2 linked regions of the Oryzias latipes genome follow. The main gene of each other region encodes a partner of the protein of the gene in region 2 in a complex. Links are inferred from orthologs where the notes say so. Each region holds a gene or a part of one and is shown on either strand. Other genes may lie near its edges. The genes, in order: hcrt and hcrtr2.

Evidence for each region.
Region 1: the proteins of hcrtr2 (region 2) and hcrt are in contact, whole or in part, in a cryo-EM structure (PDB 7L1U), measured with the Homo sapiens proteins. The link is inferred for Oryzias latipes from reciprocal best matches to the Homo sapiens genes HCRTR2 and HCRT. Residues at the interface, in NP_001371201.1 of Homo sapiens: Thr111, Val114, Trp120, Pro131, Gln134, Thr135, Val138, Gln187, Val209, Cys210, Asp211, Phe227, Thr231, Ile320, Ser321, Asn324, Lys327, Arg328, Phe333, Ala334, Thr336, Arg339, Val342, Tyr343, Phe346, His350, Tyr354; in NP_001515.1 of Homo sapiens: Asn89, His90, Ala91, Ala92, Gly93, Ile94, Leu95, Thr96, Met97.

The regions. Positions count from the first base shown.
Region 1 is NC_019866.2:6,190,684-6,194,998, forward strand, and holds hcrt (orexin), read right to left. Parts: upstream 2,837-4,315; 5' UTR 2,746-2,836; coding exon 2,692-2,745; intron 1,070-2,691; coding exon 704-1,069; 3' UTR 388-703; downstream 1-387. UniProt on the Homo sapiens protein: Neuropeptides that play a significant role in the regulation of food intake and sleep-wakefulness, possibly by coordinating the complex behavioral and physiologic responses of these complementary homeostatic functions.
Region 2 is NC_019873.2:24,232,207-24,236,030, reverse strand, and holds part of hcrtr2 (orexin receptor type 2), read right to left. Parts: intron 875-3,824; coding exon 631-874; intron 23-630; coding exon 1-22. UniProt on the Homo sapiens protein: Nonselective, high-affinity receptor for both orexin-A and orexin-B neuropeptides. Triggers an increase in cytoplasmic Ca(2+) levels in response to orexin-A binding.

The sequences.
Region 1 (4,315 bases), on a different chromosome or scaffold from region 2:
TCAGGCAGCTCTTTGGTAGTGGTGAAGAGGTTGCTGTCTGACTGTTTATGTGTGTGGACAGGTGTCTCTTATACAGATAACCTATTCAAACAGGTGGTATTAATACTGGTAATGAGTGGAGGATAAAATAACTTCTTAAACTATAGAAATCAGTTTTAACTTACATTTAAAATTATGTGGAATATACCAAAGACCAAATGGACCATAGGACACATTTTGGATATTTTTCTCTTACATTGATGCCACTAGGGTTTCGTACGGGTTAAAGAAGGAATAACAGGCCTGTGAGGGACAGAATTCTTGCTTTTTTGTAGGAGATACATATACACATGTATATATATATATATACATAGTGTGAGTGGTTCAGTCACTACTTTCTGGTTTAAGAGAAGAAGCCTTTTACTTCATTGATCGAGATATTTCACACACTTCAGATTTACAATGACTTTTTGATTTAATCTCCAGTCTATAATTATAGAAGAAAAGTATTTTCCTTCCTTAATCACACAAACTCAAATGATTTACAGTCAGCACAATGATTTTTATTGAGTCACCAAACCTTTTGAGACACATTTGTGGAGCTTTCCGACATCGCCTTGTAAAAGAAAAATGTAAGAAAATAAAGGAAAGAGTCTGTCCAGAAGAAAAGAAGTGACAGTGACCTCTTCAGTTTTTTTAAATACCTGTCCTAGTATCATTTATTTTAGAAAGGAAAAGGTGTCACGATAGTGGTTTTAGACAGGGCCAACCACTTCATGTACTCCTCCCCTGCCATCTCCTCAGTCCTCTTCCCCATGGTCAGGATTCCTGCTGCTTGGTTCCTGGAGCTGTGAAGAAGTTGCTGGAGTCGACTTTCCAGGCGATGCTCCTCCTCGTTCCGCTTTCCCAGAGTGAGGATCCCAGCAGCAGCATCTCCTGCACGGGCTCCACCAAAACTCTTATTGCCAGAGCCACAGAACAGCGCGTAAAGGGGACAGGACCGAGACGGTTTTCTGCAGCACTCGGCCACACTGTGAGGGTCACAGTCCGCTTGAGACAGGAGCAGCATCAACACGAGGGCCAGGGATTTCTGCTCAGCAAAACAATCAGACATTCCGAGCAAAAAGTCATCCAAAGGAAACTTCCATTTAAGATACTTCCTATCTGACAGCCGGCATTTTATTAAGTACTCGGTGGCATTTCCACTGCAAAAACGGAATTCTAAGAAAGGTCTTTATTTTGAGAAAAATTGTCTTTTCTGTCTTATAAGAAAAATAATTTTATCAATACAGTTTTTCAATAGCAAAAGAATCTTAAGAAAACATGATAGAAATTTTCATAAGAATTCTTGATCAGACCATTTTTCATTCCCCATTGGCAGATTTATTTAGCTTATTTGAAGAAAATTATTTAAATTTGAAGACTTCTAGACTTATTTGTTTCGGCACATGTTTGGTGGCTGGCTCAGAGAAGACAATTTAAAAAAAGAATGCAATTAAAATATAACATAAAGTAAAATGATTGTAAAGGATTGCAAACTTTTGCTAAGATGGTTGTTCAATTAATTAATAAAATGTTTTTCTTTAAGTTTGTCCCACAACCTGCTTTAATCTTGGTGAACATAATAATATTAACTTTGTTAGACATTTAATATATTCTACCGGGTTTTTCAGTTGTTCTAACTTATTTTGGTTTTTCAACCTTTCCAGTCTTTTTTTCAAAATCAGTTACGAAAATTTTGTTTTTTTCATTAATAGCTTCAAAACAGACACAAGAAAACTTTTGCTCCTAACTCTTGACAATAGAAAAACTTGATTTGAGAATAAAAAAAAAAACGTAAACTGGAGAGTTCAGTTTGGTTCAATTTTAAGAAAAAGTTCAATAAATGAAGCAAAGATAGACCAACATTCATTGTCATTATTCTTTATTTTCTAAGAATAAGTGCTAGTTTTAGATTTCATGAGACTTTATTAAGATGGGCCAACTTGTACATGTTCGCATTCTGTTCTAAAATGAGTAATTTCCACTTATTACACTATTTTTGGCACTGCAATCGAAATGAACTACAATTAGGTAGATAAAAACTCAAAACAAAATCAAATCATTTGTTTAGAAGACTTATTATTGGTCTGTTAACATTCGATTTGAAGTAATTCTAACAGTTAGCTTTTTTATCTTATTTTTCCCTTTTAAAGGCTTTGTGGAACTCTTGGTTTCTAGATTTTTATATCTTACTATAGGATTTCTTGTTTAGTAAAGTTACTTGTTGCATATACAGATTATTTTACAACTTTTTCGTGTTTCTTTTGTCCTTTTTTTGGGCTACCTCTTTTTGCAGTCTGCACTAGCAAAGAAATGCCTTCTGTTTGTCGAACTTTTGACCAAAGAGCTTTAGCTAAATTCCTGGTTAAACAGAGATCATATATTTTTATGATTGCGATATCAGCCAACAGCATTAATATTGGTGGAGCATAGTGTGTATTTGGAGTTCTTAAGTAACATTAATTTACACAAAAAGAGATGGAAAAAAACAAACATTTAATAGATTTTTGTTAACGCGTGATACATCTGTCTACATGCTTGATGGTGTGTTCATGCTGTAACTACTCTGAACTAAAGCCATTGGCCTAAAGAAGCTTTCAGGAATAAAGTCTTACACACAGTACTAAAAGTACAAATATTAGTGATAAAGAAGAAAACGAAATGTTTTACCCTGTTGGACGTCTCCATTCCAGCTGCTCTGTAGACGTTTGAGGGGTCCCACATCTTCTGTCTGGTGTTAAAGGTAGTCTAGTTTTCTTATCACTTCATGGAGCAAACGGAGGTCTTTTATATAGTTCTGTGTGGTCCACATCATCATTCCTCAAACCGGCCGTGGTCATGACAAAAACGTACTTTTTTTTAATATCTCATTGAAAGTGCGCCGTCAAGCTTGCAGCCGTTAATTAGACTCGTGTTTCAGAACATCTCCAGGACGTTTTTGAAGAAGTGCAGAAATGTCTTTGTAGGGTTTATTAGGAGATTCCAGCACAATGAGTGCAGAGAGACTCCAGTCAATTAGCTAATGTGTTTGCTGATTCAAAGATACAACACAGAAACGTAGAAAGAAAAACACATTATTATCTTTGACTTTTCTGATGACAAACATGTTTGAAGGGCATACTAATGAGGGGTCATATTTGTTTTAAACAATGTATCATAGTGACGCAACAGAATTGACAAAACAATTGACTTATTTTTAGCATTTGCAGCTAAAATTAACAAAAAGTGATGTTTTATTAAACTTTTTAGTCCAAATTAAATCTTTGATTTAATGATTTTTGGTTAAAACATCACATTTCCTTAAAAAGCAACAACCGACTGTTGAACTCTTGAATCTTCACTATCATTTATCTAATATTTGTTGCCATCTCATGGACATTAATATGCACTGCTTTCAATAAACACAATCAGTCATGATAGAATAAAAGGCCCAGATCAATAAAGAAATCCTTTTAAATCAAGATCAACTAACTGAGTACCACAGCACTTCAGAGGAAATCAATATGCTTTTATAAAACCGTATCGATTTCTTTAGATTGAGCGTGAAGGTTGCTTTCAATATGTTCTAAAAGGCTGGTTAGCATGTTTGTGTGTAAAGGTCAGTCTTAGTGTGAAGTTACATCATTTTCAGAGCAGCTCGATTTTGTACTTGAGCTTATAAGGGTTCTGTTTAGTTTGGTTTTTTCATGTTGTTTTTGGTCATGTTCTAAGTTGCCCTTTGTCTGTCACCATGCCTGGTCTCCTGCATTGACAGAAAGACCTGTGCAGGGTCACCGTGAACACTCCTTTCTGTTTTCTATGGAGGATCGCTGGGGCCGCTCCTCTTCATGTCTATTCCTGAGGAAGGTCGCCGGGGCCACTCTTCATGTTCCCTGTCCCAGAGGATGGCCACTGTTTCTCCCCCTTGGCCATGTTTCCTGTTCCAGAGGAGAGTTGTCTGAGGCGCTACTCTTCATGTACATTCCTGTGGAGGATCGCCGGGGCCGCTCCTCTTCATGTCTGTTCCTTTTGATGGTTGCCAGGGTCATACTTTATTTTCCCCCCTTCAGGTGTCCAGTCTCTGGTGAGAGTCGTTGGGACTGCTCCTCTTCATGTCTGTTCCTTGTCACCCCTAACCCAAACTGTTTTCTGGACTTCTTTTTGTTTTGTTCCCCCACTCCTCTCAGGTGTTTGGGCATCTGGGATCTGCCCTTTTGGGGTGGGGTACAGCACGGGTTCTGTTTAGTTTGGTTTTGGCCATGTTCTGACTTGCCCTTCGTCTTTCACCATGCCTGCTCTCCTTCATTTTGGGCCC
Region 2 (3,824 bases):
TAAATCTTTGGGTAGATCTCATCTGGGAAAAGAAGAACAGTTGACAACTCAATACACAGAGGTGGGTGGTTAATTGATGTTTGTCAGCCTTGCAAAGTAGAGATAGATAAAGACTCAGACAATAAAGATTAATTGGCATCTGTATTTGGATTACAGGTGAAGCATGAGAGGCCCTGTTTTCAACATTCCTTTCTGTTTCTTTTTGGAAGCTGAATTTAAGTGGTGAAAATTGGTCAAAAATGAATAAACATGGAAAAATGAGAAAAGTTGTCATTCTTTACCTGAAATTTTAACAGATAAATTACGGATAAACCATGTTAAAAACGGGAAGAAGTGTGAATAAACAGTGCAAATAACGCATACAGTGTGGGGGGGGGGGGGGGGTATTTAGTCAGGCAATTGTGCAAGTTCTTCCACTTAAAAAGATGAAAGAGGTCTGTAATTTTTTATTATAGCTATACCTCAACTATGAGAGACAAAATAATTGGCTGTGTGAACCGTTTGAATAAAGAAAAAAAAATGTGATTTGACATGCCTTTCAGGTAATTTCCAGTGCACACAGTGTGGCCTCTAAAAGAGTGAAAAATCAAAATGCTTTGACACATTTAGAAAACCTCTGAGACCACTTACCTCCCCAGTGTTCATCGCACACTGTGAACAGCCTGGTCTTGTTTGTAAGTTCAGGCAGCAGACTGCTGCACTCCATCACAATGGCCTGAGGAATCATGATTATGCACGACACAACCCAGATGGCAACAATACTCTTGCGAGCCCTCCTGGCTGTGCTCTTGAACATGAGCGGGTGACAGATCGCATACCAACGGTCCTGGGCGATGCAGCTCAGTGTCAGAACTGACACGCAAACAGAGATAGTCTGTAGAGGAGACATAAAAAAAAAAAACCTGCTCAACAGAAACATGATCATTCTGGGAACACAATTTTTTTATGCAACCAAAGTAGATGCCAGTGTTTCTTCTTTGGATATTCTTTCCCAGATAAGATTGTCACTAAATAAATACATTTAACTGTTTGATGTAAAATAAATGGGCTCATTAAATAATTTTAAGGTGAAACCATAGACTTATTTAAAGTTATGGATGACGTCAAAGTTTGTCTCACAAACACAGTTTAGTAGAGCATGACCCTTTTTCATTTTGTGGAAAAACAAATTGATGGTTAAAAGCCTAGCATAAGCCTAAGGAGCTCCAGGGCTCAGTCCAATTCAATTTTATTTATACAGCCCAATTTTACAACACAATTGTCTCAATGGGCTTCACACCAAAAAAATGCTTAGTTTAATACAAACTTTCACTTGGTTAGTCAGTTACTGTCAATGCCATGTTGAAAATTACAATGGAGTCATGATTGTTTTGAAAATATCATCTGCACAACATTTGCCTATAAATGTTTTCAATTATTTCAATGACTTTTTATTATCGGTTTAAGATTAACCCTCTGCATAAAGTTGGAAGGTTTTAGAATTTAAACAAACGTTTCAGTGCGTTTTGTGGTTTTTCAACCAAAAGTAAGTTGTTTCGCAGTTTTATTTTATTTTATTGATTCAAGTTTTTTTTTTTTTTTTTTACTGGAAATTGTAATTGCGTTTTAAGACTGCCTAAGATTTTTCTGTGTATGAAAAGCTTTAAATTATCTCAAAAAAAGACGCACAAAATTGCTTTGCACTGGTCAGGTGGTTCCTAACTGAAATGAGATTTGACACATTTGTAAAACAAACACTAAGAATCACAGTCTTAGAACCCTGAACCTGTAATCTATTCAATATTTATAATTGGAATTAGGGATGAAATAATCTCTGTGAGTAAAACGTTTGTCCTCTGGTATTAAACTCTTTCTGCTTAAGTCAAAACAACCAAATAGTCTTTAAATATATCCTGAAAATAAAGAAATACATGTTGTCAAAAAGATATAATTGAAATGAGCTGCAATGTCCACAAACTTTTTCCTGGCGTGTTATACCTTAAATTCAAAGATCTCCTGCAGTCTGGCACTGTGTTTGATTTTTTTCCTTTGAGGTAAATATACTCATCTTTTTGATGATGTTTGTGTGATAATTTTTGCATAAATGCATACAATTGTCTGTCCAATGTTAATTTTATTTCTGCATTCATATAAGAAATGTATGCTGACAAGAATCTCATTATATGGGGCATAATAATCTAAAATGCAATGATGTTAATTTCAAATTTTGCCTAAGAGACTCATGAGCTGAGCTCATGATTAATTACAATATGTGATGATGCAAAGACCCTTACACCTGCAATAGTCCTTGCAAAGATCGAGAAGACTATTATAGTGCTTATTACTATCATTTTCCTCATTTAAAGCATTGAATAAACCAACAAAGCTTGAAATGTCAGTGTTTAGGTGCAATTGAAAAAGCTGGGTAGCTAAAGTTAGTGGAACAACAAGTGAAGTTACACATTTAACCCTTGTGCTATCTTAGATGACCCACCTTTACATTGACGTGTTCTCTCTACCATAACAATGATGGATAAAGGTGGAAAGATTTCATGTAATCCATGGACACCAGTGAAGATCGCAAATCATTGAAGAAAAAAGGATCCGCGCACTGTCTAGTGGGTCTAGATGACCCAACTCCCAATGTTAAAATACCCAGGATAGCACAAGGGTTAAGAGAAAAACTTTCCGCCTTTGAGTATTTTATTTAAACTTTGATCCAAGTCTAGACACTCATAAACAGGACCGTTTGTATGAAAAAACAACAAATGTGACCTCCTACTCCATATTTGTTTACAATGTTTAATGGATACACAAAAAAAAAAAAAATGACCAGATCATCTGAAAAATAAATTGACAAAGAAAATTAAATTGGTAAAGACAAGAAATCAACAATTTCCTAGTTTTAATGTTTCAAAATTTAAATAAGCAAAGAAATATTCTTTCTAACATAATTTTTGTCTGTCACTAACTGGAGGCGTCAATGGAACCTTCCAGCACACTAATGTGTTCCAGTCAGTCTGTTTAACAACTGGTAAATGGTTTTTAGAAATTGCTGATGACACACTCTACTGTAAGTCTGCATGCAGATGAGCCAGTTTCTGGCAGTCTGGGACAGACATGAAGATCAGCAACAGTTTTTCCATGTAACTGTTTTCTCAGAGCACAGACTCTCAGCGTTATCTACATTGCACAGCTGTCTCGCTGTGAAAAATACTTTAAAGAAGCACGATGTTTGAAACCAGAACAACATCAGGCCTGTCGTGGAACAGGAAGATTCCCATATGAGACAATTTTCCAATTTGAGGATGTTGTAGATGACTTGAATTTTAATGTCCACTTGGCTGAAACTTTGGACAATCATTAAGCAGATAAATCACAATACAATAAGAGAGACCCATTTTACTTTTTTGCTTTGTTTTATCTTTAAAAGAAAAGGGACAAAAAGGCACATTTTATAAATTAGTTCATTCCTAATTCTTCCTTCTTTTTCTTTTTTGTCATTTTTAAGCTATGAGCACAAAACATTTTCCATTTTCACTGTCCATTTCCAGCAATGTGTGCACTTACTGTAACTTTGAGACCCGAAGCTTTAGGTTAAACATTTAAAATTAAGCTTTTGCAGCTTAAAAGCTTGCTGACCGATAATTACAAAATCCCTTTATAAACTGTGTATTTTGCTTTATAAGTTTTACGCACATTAATACATTTACAGTCCAATAGGGTTTTCTTTTTCTCCAATCCTTCGCTCAGTTGGCATGACCTCAGCTTGACTAATATTGTTTTACATTATTTGCAGCTTGCTTTAGCCCACAAACTGTGGAAAATGTCGTATAAAAGGATGC